Linked DNA regions of Caenorhabditis elegans. The protein of the gene in region 1 purifies or fractionates together with the protein of each later gene. This does not show direct contact. Each region holds a gene or a part of one and is shown on either strand. Other genes may lie near its edges.

Evidence for each region.
Region 2: the proteins of elpc-1 (region 1) and eaf-1 fractionate together in Caenorhabditis elegans (co-fractionation; one large-scale study listed by BioGRID). This does not show direct contact.

What each region holds. Positions count from the first base shown.
Region 1 is NC_003279.8:5,112,864-5,121,562, reverse strand, and holds elpc-1 (Elongator complex protein 1), read left to right. Parts: upstream 1-2,710; 5' UTR 2,711-2,715; coding exon 2,716-2,770; intron 2,771-2,817; coding exon 2,818-2,903; intron 2,904-2,952; coding exon 2,953-3,012; intron 3,013-3,070; coding exon 3,071-3,282; intron 3,283-3,333; coding exon 3,334-3,568; intron 3,569-3,618; coding exon 3,619-3,907; intron 3,908-3,953; coding exon 3,954-4,301; intron 4,302-4,474; coding exon 4,475-4,818; intron 4,819-4,904; coding exon 4,905-5,550; intron 5,551-5,699; coding exon 5,700-6,785; intron 6,786-6,834; coding exon 6,835-7,004; intron 7,005-7,259; coding exon 7,260-7,364; 3' UTR 7,365-7,441; downstream 7,442-8,699. Other genes in the region: Y110A7A.9 (WD repeat-containing protein 11), read right to left, coding at 1-284, 584-908, 1,001-1,195, 1,250-1,434, 1,650-1,826, 1,877-2,036, 2,084-2,195, 2,243-2,301; Y110A7A.15 (uncharacterized protein), read left to right, coding at 7,825-7,843, 7,895-8,007, 8,061-8,231, 8,284-8,431, 8,546-8,699.
Region 2 is NC_003279.8:4,600,827-4,605,675, forward strand, and holds eaf-1 (Ell-associated factor Eaf), read left to right. Parts: upstream 1-2,390; 5' UTR 2,391-2,396; coding exon 2,397-2,511; intron 2,512-2,589; coding exon 2,590-3,230; 3' UTR 3,231-3,370; downstream 3,371-4,849. Other genes in the region: nrd-1 (CID domain-containing protein), read right to left, coding at 66-688, 758-1,277, 1,324-1,582, 1,652-1,813; D1007.8 (Nucleic acid-binding, OB-fold protein), read left to right, coding at 3,577-3,792, 3,841-4,026, 4,074-4,451.

The DNA.
Region 1 (8,699 bases):
AATAGTGATCGGACTTTCATCAGTTTCCGGTCGAATTCTTTTGGCTAAACCTGTTCGAATATCAGTGATAAAAACATCATTTCGAACAATTTGTGATGCACTTAAAGAATGATTATATCCAGCAGTAACAAGAGAATAAACACCGCCCCATTCAAGGCATTTAACAAGAGATGGTTGAACACAAAAATCACGATAGATTTGAGAAGTGAAAACGTCGACCAAATGAACTGTTCCAGAATTTGTTCCGACAGCTGCGAGATGAAGGGTTCCGAGAGCTGTGTTTGCTGAAAAAATTTGTTTTATAATTTTCGAAAAGTTAAAAAAAAAATTTAAGGGTTTTTTTTCGGATTTTGCGAAGTTTAGTGTACAGTGTACGAAGACAATTACTTTTTATGAAAATTTGGTTAAAAACTAATTTTTGTTGGTTGTCAAAAGGTTTTTGTTATAATAATTTTTTAACATAAAAAATTCAATTTTTATTTCAGTCAAATGGTAATAGAAAACATAATTTCTTGACGCAATTTTTGAGTATTTTGGAAGTTTCTCAAATTCGATCTTTTAAAATTTAAACATTTTTCCATACCAAAAGGATCATTTTCAACTTTCGTTAGCTCATCCATAGGTCTCATTCGAACACAAGTTACACCAGAAGACAATGATCCCATTTGACTAAGCTGATGTAGACTTAGTTCCCCAATTGACTTCGTTGATAGATTGTCGTTGAACTCAAGAACATCCTCAATGAAGCTTGATCTATACAAAAGTGGTAGACGTCCGTTGCTAAGTTGCCAGAATGCAAGTTTTCCACTTTGATAGAGTACAGAGACGGTTGATTGAGTGGTTGGACACAGTGCAGCTGCTACGATTCGCTGATTGTTCATTGGACGCACGCATTCTGTTTGACAGACCTGAGAGAAAAATATGGTTTATAAGAAGTTTTTTGGTGATTTTTTTTCAAATTTTAAATCTAAAAATGTCTAAACGCTGAAATCCTCATTACCTTATCCATCGAAAAACTGGCGTTCGGCTTTTTCTCCTCGGTTGGCTCAAATTTTGTAACTCGAAAAGTGGTTGCTCCATTCGAATGCACAGCGAACAAAGCATCTCGTCGACCGGTTGGCATCCAAGATACAATATTTGATTCGATGGGAACACGAGCAAGACAACACATTAATTCAGGATTGACTAGGTAGAGCTGAAAATGAGAAAATTGATTATTTAATTATTTATATTAGAAATGGCAACTTACACCAGAATTAATTGCAATAAAAACCGTATTTCGATATGCTTTGTGATATGTGATGAGGTAAATATTAGTGTTAGTGGAAGTTGTTGAATTGTCTTCTGAAGTTATTTGAAATAAATGTCCAGAGGAAGCAGGCTCCGAGAGAGCAATGTCGGAGCACACGAGTACTTTGTTTCCAGAACTGCTGACTGAAATTTACTGATTATTTAAGTTTCTTTTCGAATATTTTAATATTTTTAATTATTTTTTCATTAGGCTATTTTTTAAATTGGATCATAATTTTAGTTGAAGTCTTAGATTTTGCAACAACAAAAAAACCAAAAAATCCGTAAACAGGTTGGTTTATTTTTGATTTTAAAAATTATATTTAAAGCTTATTTTCAATATTAAAACAAAAACTTACATATCACATTTCTCAATGAAAATGGATCGACTGTAAAATCAAAAAGTGGAACATGGGAATATGTATGATTCCAGACTTTTTCTCCAGTCACCGTATTCCATAGAACAACTGTACTGGATGAATGAAGAACTAGAAGGAAATCTCGAGAAATGTCTTTCCATGGATACCAGAACATTTCTGAAACCTTTCAAAATTAAATTTATTTGAAGAAAAATATGAAAACTTACGGAGAACAGAGCTGTTTGGATGAGAGAATTTATTAATTTGTGCTGCAGTTACTGAATTAGAAATTATAATATGTCCACTAATATCAGAGGATGCAATTATTGGTTGTAAAGATGATGGTGATAAATCAGCAAAAGGCGATCGAGCTGGAGACCACCGGATCTGAAAAATAATTAAATTTCATTTATTAAGTTAACATGAAAACTCACAATATTAATGGCAGATTGATGATGCTCGATGGATTGTATCCTTTTGTATTGCATCACATCAACTACGAAAATCAAATTATGAGATCCATAAGCAATGAGACCCCCATCATTCCTAAAAATTAAACTTTTTTTATACGAAAAATTATTTGAAAAAGCAACCAGTCGATTGCATTCCTTCCATTGCTCGGATGAAGGCATCCAGGTACGGTATGTGGCATTTTAGAATATCATAAAACCCGGTTGACGACACGATGAGGCTGCAAATAAATCGATAAGAGTTGGTTTGTTTGCAGAGCAATACTCGATTTGGAAAGGGCAGTAACCTGTGGAGACTGTTAGAGAGTGCAAGAAAAAGACAACGAGAGATAAAAATGTAATGTTTTTTTGATTGAAATAATGAGGAAAAAACTAAAAAATTGTCTTTAGCTGTTCGAATTGAACAGAAAGTTGCCATGGGCAAACAATTGTTTAAAAAATGGAGAAATTGACAATTGTGAAAAAATGGCCTAGTTTTCTGATGAACTAGTCCGCAGTTGAAATTCTAGGCCATCTTGATTTTTTTTAACTAAAAAAGTTTCTTAACAGTTTTCCGCTTTTTTCTCACTGTACCAAACCATTTTCTTGCAGAAAATATGAAAAACCTACAGATTGGAAGTGTAAAAACTTTTGAAAATCCAGAGATCGCAGGTAAAAACAATTAAAATAGTTTAAAGGTAAAACTTAGTGCGTTCCAGGTGCGGACGATTTCGCAGTTCATCCCATTCTTCAAACGATTGCTGTTTCAACGAAAAATGAGCTTTTGCTGCTAGAAAACAATTTGGTGAGACTTTTGAAATATTTTTGTGACAAAATGTTGCGAAATTTTGCAGATCAGCAGCACAATCAAATGGGCCGAGCAACGCCGTGAATTGGAAGTGATTTCCTTGTCGGTAGGGAATTCATTTTTGAAATTTAAATATATCTAAAATCTAAAGTTAATTTTTTCAGTTTCGAACCGATGGAAATCAAATAGTGGTGATACTTGCTGACGGACGTGCTTTGATCGTTGAAGATGGGGAAGTAATGGATCTAGAAATAGCCGAACTGACCGACACAACTGTTTCAGCAGCCGAATGGACCGCCGATGAGCAAACACTTGCTCTTGCTGATAATCAAACCCTTTATCTTGCAGATTCTTCTCTTGTTCCTTTTGCAGAAAGGTATCTAAATTTAAATTGAGATGAACAATACAATTATAATTTTAATTTCAGACCACTCATCTTCTCGGAAAATGAAAGAAAATCTGCACCAGTTAATGTTGGTTGGGGCTCTGAGAGCACACAATTCAGAGGATCCGCCGGCAAACTTAAGCCAGGAGAGAAAATAGAAAAAGAAAAGGAACAAATCGAGCAACATTCAAGAAAAACGTCAGTGCATTGGAGATGGGACGGTGAAATTGTCGCCGTTTCCTTCTATTCAAGTCAAAATGACACACGAAATTTAACGGTAAGTTGGGAGATCAAAATTTTCCAAGTAATATAATACCTTTTTTTTAGGTTTTCGATAGAAATGGAGAAATTCTGAACAACATGAACATTCGAAATATCTACCTCTCCCATTGCTTTGCACACAAGCCAAATGCGAATCTTTTGTGTTCAGCTATCCAGGAGAACGGCTCCGATGATCGAATTGTAATCTATGAAAGAAATGGTGAAACAAGAAATAGCTATGTCGTCAAATGGCCGGCAAACCAGATTGAAGATAGAAGAATTATCGAGAAAATTGAATGGAATTCCACTGGAACCATTCTGTCAATGCAGACTTCTCTGGGAAAGAAGCATCAACGTAAGAGTTTTGCAAAGCTCCTAAATAAAAAATAAAAACTTTTCAGTTGAATTCTGGCATCTCTCCAATTACGAATTTACCAGAAAATGTTATTGGAAGTTCTCGGAATCAATAATTTGGAAGTGGAGTACTGTAGAATGCCAAAATATTGAAGTTCTTCTGGAATCTGGTCAATTCTTCTCAGTTCATATCACACCTACTGCTTCATTCTCTGACGTTATATCACAAAACGTTGTCGTTGCAACTGATGAACTTCGGATGTATTCATTGTGTCGGAGAGTTGTGCCTCCACCAATGTGTGATTATTCAATTCAATGTCTATCTGATATTGTCGCTTATACAACGTCAACTCATCACGTTCATGTTATCACATCGGATTGGAAAATCATTTCATGTATGGTGATCAAGGGTGTCATCGAAACAATTTTCGACCACAAAATTATGAAAATTTCAAGCTATTTTTCAAAAAAAAAAAGAGAAACTACAGTAATCCATTTTTTAGAAAAAAATATATTTTAGAAATTTTAAAAGTCCCTTCACATAAAACTTATTTTGCTTGTTTTGCAGTCAGCCAAGACACAGATGGATACAAATTCAACAGCGACCGTGCTTCAATTGATGAAGTACTACACACTGAGGTTACGGAAGGGATTATCTGTGGATTTGTGTACGATGAGCCATCAGAATCATACATTATTTGGAACGTTAGCCACGGAAAACATCAAATCAGTCGAGTTGGTGCTAATCCAGAAAAAATCTTCGAAGGAGAAAATATTGGGTGGATTGGAGTAAATCCCTCAAACAAGCACGTTGAAATTGCATCAAACGATGGAAAGTTTATTGACTTGAATACAAAAGAAGAATTGTTCAAAATTGACAAGTTCGAGTCTACCGAAGTGCATTTTATACAGGTTTGTCACGGAATATTGGTAAAATTCAAGTTTTTTGATTTCTTGAGACTCACGTTAGATGATATTTATGAATAAGATTTTTTTAGAACCATCACGTGATTCAAGTGGACAACTCGATGCTTTTCCTCGATTCGGAGCGTGTTTCCCAAGACGCTATTTCAATTTTAACTCGAGGCTCCGATATTCTTCTGATCGATTTCGATAATAAACTGAGATTCATTGATGCTGAATCAGGCAAAACTTTAGAAGACGTTCGTAACGTTGAAGCAGGCTGTGAACTTGTTGCATGTGATTCTCAATCAGCGAATGTTATCCTACAAGCTGCTCGCGGAAATTTGGAAACTATTCAACCACGTCGCTATGTTATGGCTCACACTCGTGACTTGCTCGATCGAAAAGAATACATTGCCTCATTCAAGTGGATGAAAAAACACAGAGTTGACATGTCATTTGCGATGAAATATAAGGGAGACGATTTGGAAGATGACATACCAATTTGGTTGAAAACTTCAAATGATTCACAATTCCTTGAACAACTTCTTATCAGTTGTACTGAAGTTTTCGAGGATGCAGGATCATCTCTCTGTATGACAGTTGCACGATATGTCAGAGATTTGTCGGATGCAGAAAAGACAAAGATGTTCCCACTGTTGCTTACTGCTCTGTTACGATCGAAACCATCGAAAGTTAACGATTGTTTGAAAGAAGTTCAAGAGCATGTTGAGAAAATTGGTAGGTTTTAGACCACGGGCGTCATCGAAAAATCAAAAAAAAAAATTAGAAAATTAGCAAATAAAAGGTTTAAGAACCCAAATTGAAAACCGACACCCTTGTTTTAGACTGAAATTTTGCAAATCTTGAAGAACGAACTTTTTTTTCAGCTGATCGTAAGGATGTCTTCACTCGAAACAGTCTACATCACATCTCATTCTTTGTGCCGGCTAAAGAGCTCTTCAACTGTGCTCTATCCACATACGATTTGAAGCTTGCTCAGCAAGTTGCAGAAGCTTCAAATTACGATCCAAAAGAATATCTACCAGTTCTAAACAAGCTTAATCGAGTTATGTGCACACTTGAACGACAATACCGTATTAATGTTGTACGAGAAGCTTGGATTGATGCAGTTTCCTCATTGTTTCTGTTGGATTCAAGTAAAGAAAGAGGTTCAGAAGAGACATGGTGGAATGATATTGAAGATATAATTCAAAGGGAAAAACTATATCAAGATGCACTGACCCTTGTTAAGCCAGGAGATCGAAGATATAAGCAATGTTGTGAGCTGTACGCTGCTGAATTGGAACGAAAAGTTCATTGGAGAGAAGCTGCGTTGTTTTACGAACTTTCTGGAAACTCGGAGAAAACTCTGAAATGCTGGGAAATGTCACGAGATGTTGATGGTCTTGCCGCATCAGCTCGTCGACTTGCAGTTGATGCTGGAAAGTTGAAGATTCATGCAATTAAAATGAGTACAACTCTTCGAGAAGCACGACAGCCGAAGGAATTGGCGAAGGCTCTGAAATTGGCCGGTTCGTCGAGCACTCAAATTGTACATGTTCTCTGTGATGCGTTTGAATGGTTAGACGCGAGTCGAGAAGTTGAAGTAGGAAAAGAGGAAGCGCTGAAAAAGGCTGCATTGAGCAGAAATGATCAAGTTTTGATGGATTTAGAACGAAGAAAAACTGAATTCGAGAACTACAAAAAGAGATTGGCTGTAGTTCGAGAGAACAAGTTGAAGAGAGTTGAACAGTTTGCAGCTGGAGAAGTTGACGATTTGAGAGATGATATTTCAGTTATTTCCAGTATAAGTTCAAGATCAGGATCATCGAAAGTTTCGATGGCGTCGACTGTTAGAAGGCGGAAGCAAATTGAAAAGAAAAAAAGTTCACTGAAAGAAGGTGGTGAATACGAAGATTCAGCATTGCTCAACGTGCTTTCGGAGAATTATCGATGGTTAGAGAATATTGGAAGTGAGTTTTGCTTTCCCTGGAATTTTAATATATTGTGACATATTTTCAGATGAGCTATCCCAATTGATTCTAGTTTTGATAACAGTTGGAAACTTCCCAGAATCTCTTAAATTGAGAAGCGCTTATGATGAATTTGCCACGAAGCTTCAGAAAAGCAAAGCTGCAATCTGGCCTGAAAGCCTGTCGGTTCAGCATCTTCCAGGACCACTTCATGCACTGGTAATTAAATTTGAAACGCTAAAAAATATTATCAAAATATATAAACTGACATGTGAAACGTGGCTTATTTTTTATTTTGTTTTTTATTTAAGCTCCTCCCATTTTTTAAAAATAAACTAATAAATTAAAATTTCAACGAAAGGTCAGGAATGGGAGGAGCTCCTCGAGGAGCTTAAATAAAAAACAAAATAAAAAAATCCACGTTTCACATGTCAGTTTAAATATTTTGATAATACTAATTGTGTAAATTTTCAGTTTGACCCAAACCAAGAGCCGTCGCCTATCCCAATGCCTCCCATATTCCGGCTTGAACCTGAACTTGTCGCTCCTACATCTTCATTTGCTTCAGTTTTCCCATAAATTGTTGATTTTGTTTTCTTGTATTGTTCTGTTGTTAACCGTTCTCTTGTTATTGGTAACTAAAGTTTTTATTCACAAAATTGTTCAACTTCATAGTTTAAATTTTCTCAGCAAAGGAAATATGGAAGAAAATGTTCTGTAAATTTTATTTAAATTATTCAAAGAAATTGAAAGACATTTTTTTTGGTAAAATAAAAATTTTAAATAATGCATTTCTAGGCTTCCTGAAATTAATTCTTCGCGCGCGAATGTCTCTTCGACTACAGTATTCCCGAAACCTGCACATCAAAGTGACAAAATGCGTTGGCAATTATTTACTTTTTTTGTAATTTTTGCCTAAATTTCCCGCTAAATAAATCGTGTTTTTTAAATTTAAATGAACTTTGATCCTTCTCCTTTTTTCCATAATTTGTTAAATATTTATGAAAACATTCAATGATTTTCAGCACAGCTTCACAATATGAGCAAAAAGGTGGATGGTACGTAATTAATTAATAAAAAATTTCGGTAACAAGCAACACCTATTTCAGATCTCGATCCTTCGGAGCTTGCTGAATTGACTAATGTCCTTCACCAAATAATTGAAGAACCTAGAGGTCGTGTCAGACTTGATGAAAAGCAGCTCGTCGTCGTAAAAAAAGCTGTACGGAACTTATTAATCAGAATATTATTTTTGGATCATTTTCTACTTTTCAGTACGATTGCAAAATAATCGAGAGAAAACTTGGTAACGCTATTGCATTCAACATCGAGCAGCAAAAGATCGAAGAGGTGAAACGAGAAAAAGATCGACAAGCGAAGGAAAGAGAAAAGAAACCTATCCTTCCCAGTAATAAAGTCACTCGTGTCACGTTCAAGGAACAGGATGTGAGTCGTTCATATATTTTTGAAATTTTCATTAAATAAATGTTATTTTCAGCTTTCGATTTCATTCTCCTGCGTCCAAATTAGTAGCCCAACTACCAGCAATGGCGGGAACCAACAAATTGCGAATAGATCGATGCTAAAAGCGAGTCCAAACACTACAAACGTTGATTATATCTCGTTCATATCGGAAGATGGTGGATGTGAGTTGTTGCGGGGTGTTGATGTCCCGGCAAGATTTTAAGCTATTTTTAAAATCACTGCTGGAGATAGACTCCACTTTCCAATCGAAAATTATTGACCGAAATACATTGCAGATTTGATGATGAGAAATAAAACGTTTCCTGCGCCGGATCTACTCAAAAATGAACCCCTCGGATATCCATTGGGAGTTGCCTACGACGAGATCCGTAATGATTGGCTAATTTGCGATCGAAATATGAACAAGCTACTGATTATGAACGTCGAAAA
Region 2 (4,849 bases), 510 kb from region 1:
TTGGAAGTTTTTTAGCTCTTCTTGTAAAATCATACAAAATCGCAACTCGTTGTTGTAAAACATACTAATAGTAAATCCAATTCTAACAGGTGGCAATCCCATTCTTCTTCTCTCTTTGCTCTCTCTTTCCTTCTCTTTTTCCCTTAATCGAGCTCGTTCCACATCTCCACTATTGTTAATTCCACTATTTCCACCACTTAATTCCAATATTTTTTTCTCTGGACTCTGTGCGGCTTCATTCAACATTGCTTGCTGTTGAGCTGCTGCGGCGGCTTGGAGGTCATTTAACATTGGATTAACACCATGTTGAAGAGCAAATGGATTAAGCAATGGATTTCCAAGCATAAGAAGATTTCGCTGAGCATTTGGATTTCCTTGTAGAGCTTGAAGTTGAGCAGCACGTTGTTGCAGTTGGAGCATATTCTGAGCATTTTGAACATTCATCAGTTGGGCTTGGTTGAGGCCTGAGAGATTTGGAAGTCCGAGCTGTTGATTTGGAAAACCTGGCGGCAGAGATTGTTGAAGAGCCATCAGATTTGGTGGTGGAGCTCCCAATGTTAAAGCTGCTGACGATGTTGGAACAATATGTTCGCCTGGGAACGGAAGACCAAATGGATTTCCTTGAGGTATCAAGACTTCAGCGAGTTTTGCGAGTATTTGAGGTTGAGTAAGCAAACTTTGAGCCAATCTAGAATTTGAAAAAAAAATTAGAAACATTCTGGAATTAAGAAAAAAATAAAATGCATCAAAAACTCACAACAGGACTTGAGCATGTGGCAGATTTTTCTGTTTCTCTGGTTGTGGTTCCTTTTCCTTCTCTTCTTCATCATCCGAGTATTCAAAATCTTTTGTTAACACATTCTGTATACTACTTCCATTAATCCGATTATTCTCCGCTAGAACTTCTTCTACTTTTTGACTCAAGGATCCAGCGAATATTTGAAGTGCTCTCTGGAGAAGATTCTTGTCCTTACTTAAAACTCCACTGCGATCTATGCCGAACTTCTGAACCAATTCCAACATTTCTCTCTCAGAAATAGTTCCAAGGAAGTAATCTTCAGAAAGCACAAAGTTCGGAATATCTGGGACAGATCTCAGAGCAGATGATGGTCCAGCACCGAGAAGTCCATCATCCGGATGTGGATTTGTAGGAGTACGAGATTTCGGTTGAGACGATGATGAAGACCTTTTTGGCTTTTTCTTGTAAACTCCGGAATAAATGCTCATATCAGCCTGTTTTCCCTTCACGGCGAGCTCAACTTCCTCGAAATCGATAGCTAAAAATCAAACTTTTTTTTTGAATTCTCCACCATAATTACTTACTTAATCCAGAAGCCTTGCACATCTCTCTCAGTGGTTGAATCTCTGATTCCTTGAAAACTTTATTGGACATCCACAAATTAAGAGTTCTAACTGTTCTCATTTTCTCTTTCTGTCCACACTTTAACAGCGGCATCAAAAACTTGTCAAACTGCTTCATAAACCGTGGGCCAAATGTGTCTTTTTCTTTAAGTTGATGTTTTGAAGCACGGACTATTGAATCGATTACATAGAGCACATTTAGACGTTGATCTGGCTTGCACTGAAAAATCATTAATAAAAATAAATAAATTATTTAATTTAAATTTCGATTTCTCGAAATCATTCTAACCTTATTGATAAGTTTTTCAACTGAAAAAACCACATGCTTATATTGGCTTTTTGCTTTGATCGCAGCCTTTGTTATATCCTGAATCTTGTTCTTGCTCATGTTTTTCGAGTCGAATAGTGACGACAATTCATTATTAAACGATTTCATCACTTCCGTCTCCATGGTGATCCCACTGATGAGAGTTTTGTTCTGAAAAAAGCCAATTCAAATTAAAATCGATAATGCGAAGCGAGAAAATAAACTGAATAAAAGGAATAGTGGAAAGATACAATTGCAGAATTAAGAGTAAAGGTGGATGTGCTAATTTTAACGAATAGCAAATATTCCAAACGCTTATTTTTGAAAAATCGATAAATGCGATATGTCGACGGTTTAAAATCCAATGTAAACTATTTTCCCACTAAGTTTTTTCATGATTTTGATACTTTTTCAGTAGTTGAATATAATTTAATAATTTATGTACAAATTCATCTAATTATAGCGTTTTGAATGAAAATAGGAAAGAAAGCCGGCATAAAAATGGTAAAGCGCCGAGGTCAACACTGTGCCGCACACTTGCAAAACGGCGTGCCAGGCTTGCCAACCGAAGACTCCGCCCACAGCTAATGGTACTCTCGCGCACACAATTGGCACTATTCTGAAGAATTTCATTGTAATATATAATAAAATTATCGATTTTTTTTTCAAATTAAAAAATTCAAAATATTCACATATGATTTAATAATAATCATTTTTTCAGTTTCACATGGCAGAGTCAAGTGATATTCCGAATGGTACTTACACCTTGACCCTCGGGAAGTCATTTGAAGTAAAAGGACGGAAAAGTGACCCTAAGGCAGAGCAATTTCACACGCTAAGATGTAGGTTAACTGCACAATTTTAAGATTAAATATATCAGAAATTTAAAAATATAAAATCGAAATAGCTAAAATTTACAGACGATTTCAAGCCAAGCTCTGTATCAAACAATGCCGACACCTTCATAGCGTTTGGGAACAGCGGTGATGTACATGTCTCTGTACCAAGCGAAGGAGACAATATGACTGTATATAAAGGATCGAAAAAAGAAGCAAAACCGAAAGAATGTCTTCTGTTCTTCGACAAAAAGACCAACACAGTTCGCTTGGAGAAAATTACGAGCAATATTAATGTAAAAAAGACGAGAGATCTAGATCAAGGAACAGAACTCGCATTGAAACGTGGAATCGAAAGATTGAGAACTTCTTCTAATAATCAGCGATCTGGACCATCTTCACCGGAGGAGAAAGCGAAAATTCAGAAACAAATGCAGAGAGATACATCAGATTCGAGTAGTGATTCTGATGGATCATCTGATTCCGACAAATCGAATGGCGATTCCAGTGATGATGAAGATGAGAGCGAGAAGATATTATTGGAAGAAATGAAAAAGCCCAAACCATATACAGAAAGAGAACCCGCACCGCCTTCGTCTTCAAATACCTACAATCACAAAGAAAGCCACGTGGCTCCCTATATATCAAGTAGTGGAAATAAAAACAAAGATTCTGAGGAGAAGTATGGATTGGCACTTAGCGAAAGCTCCGACGAAGATGACTAATTTTAAAACATAATATTATTCAGTGTATTCAACCGTCTTTCTTGTGTACTTGTACTAGTGGTGGCAGTTATTTGCTTCTGTGATTTTTTATTTATTTCAAAACCGGGCTATCTATCGCAATCATAAATTTTTTCATTCAGGCTATTCAACAGTTTTATTTTTTCAGGTTTTCTGTTTAATCCGTGCACTATTTTAAAGTCGAACTAAAGTTTCTCTGAAATTTTTAAAATTCGCTGAAACCATTTTATCAATAGAGCATGCTTCTTGCGCTAAACAGTGTCGTTTGTAGACGTCGATTTTATCTTCAAATTTCTGTGTTTTTCTCACATATTGTTCATGATTTCAGATGGAAACTCACCGGTATATTCCAGAACATGCCGTCCCAATGCCGATTTCAGCGCTATTCAATTCAACAAAAGAACGAATCGAGTACGGAACGGCAGACGTTGTTCGCGTTCAAGTGATGGGTGTAATCGAATCTGTGAAGTTCGGAGATTCTGATGTAGAATACATGATTACTGATAAAGATAATCATAATATTTTGGTTCAAAAAATCCTCACCGTTAGTCTGAATATATCGTGTAACATTGGAAAAAAGTATTAATTTCAGGCTTCTTTCACCGAAGAATCTGCCAAGAAGTTCAACGTCGGGGACCGTGTTGAAGTATTCGGAAAAGTTCGAATTTTGGAGAATGGAAAGAAGTTTTTGAACGCATTTTCGATGCACAAAGCTTCAGATGAACAATTCGCCGCTTTTCAAATAATCTGCCGTTTTTCAGAGAAGTTCTATAAAAAGGCAAGTTTCAGTGAATTTTTAAAAGCCAATAATTGCCCATTTTCCAGCACACACCTATCTTGCCAGCAGGCGCCAGCACCAATGTTCCTACTCGTTTCGGTTTGAAGAACAAAGTGGGAAGTTTGAATCGGTTCCCAATGGGAATGCTGGAACAATCATCTTCTTGCGAAAATAATATGGGAGTGTGGCCAACGGAAATTGAACAATTGGCAGCAGGAATATCGACAAGTGGACTTGTTAAAGAAGAATCAGATGTATCTGAGGATAGCAGTGATGATTCGGATGAAGAGGATGAGGAGGAAGAAGAAGAAGATGATGAGGAAGATTCATTTGATAAAGGACCAGTGAGCCTTGTGCCAATGGCTCGAAAGGAGAAGCCAAAAGAGGAGCCGGAACCAGAATATGATTCCTTCGAAAACGCCTGAATTTATAATATTCAGCTTAATTTTATTTTATCGTGTTCAATTTTCACTTATAGACATCTTGCCTTGTCTTTCATTCCACAATCTGTTTTATAAACTTTTATTTCTTTTTTTTTAAATAATTTCAATTTCTAATATGTTCCCTTAAAGGTTTTAAACCTTTTTTCATATCTTCAGTCGGCGGCACACGGTAATTGCCATTTTCCCAATATTCTTTCTAATGAAATTTCAGTATTCTACAACTAAATTTTAATGAAAGAAATTGGTAGAACATTTTATAATAAAAAACGCTTGAAATAAGCAAAATGAAACTAAGAAACTTCTATTTTTCACCAAAAAATTGATTTTTTAGTAATTCATCGAAAAAAAAATGGTTTCAGGCCTGGTCAATCCCCTATACC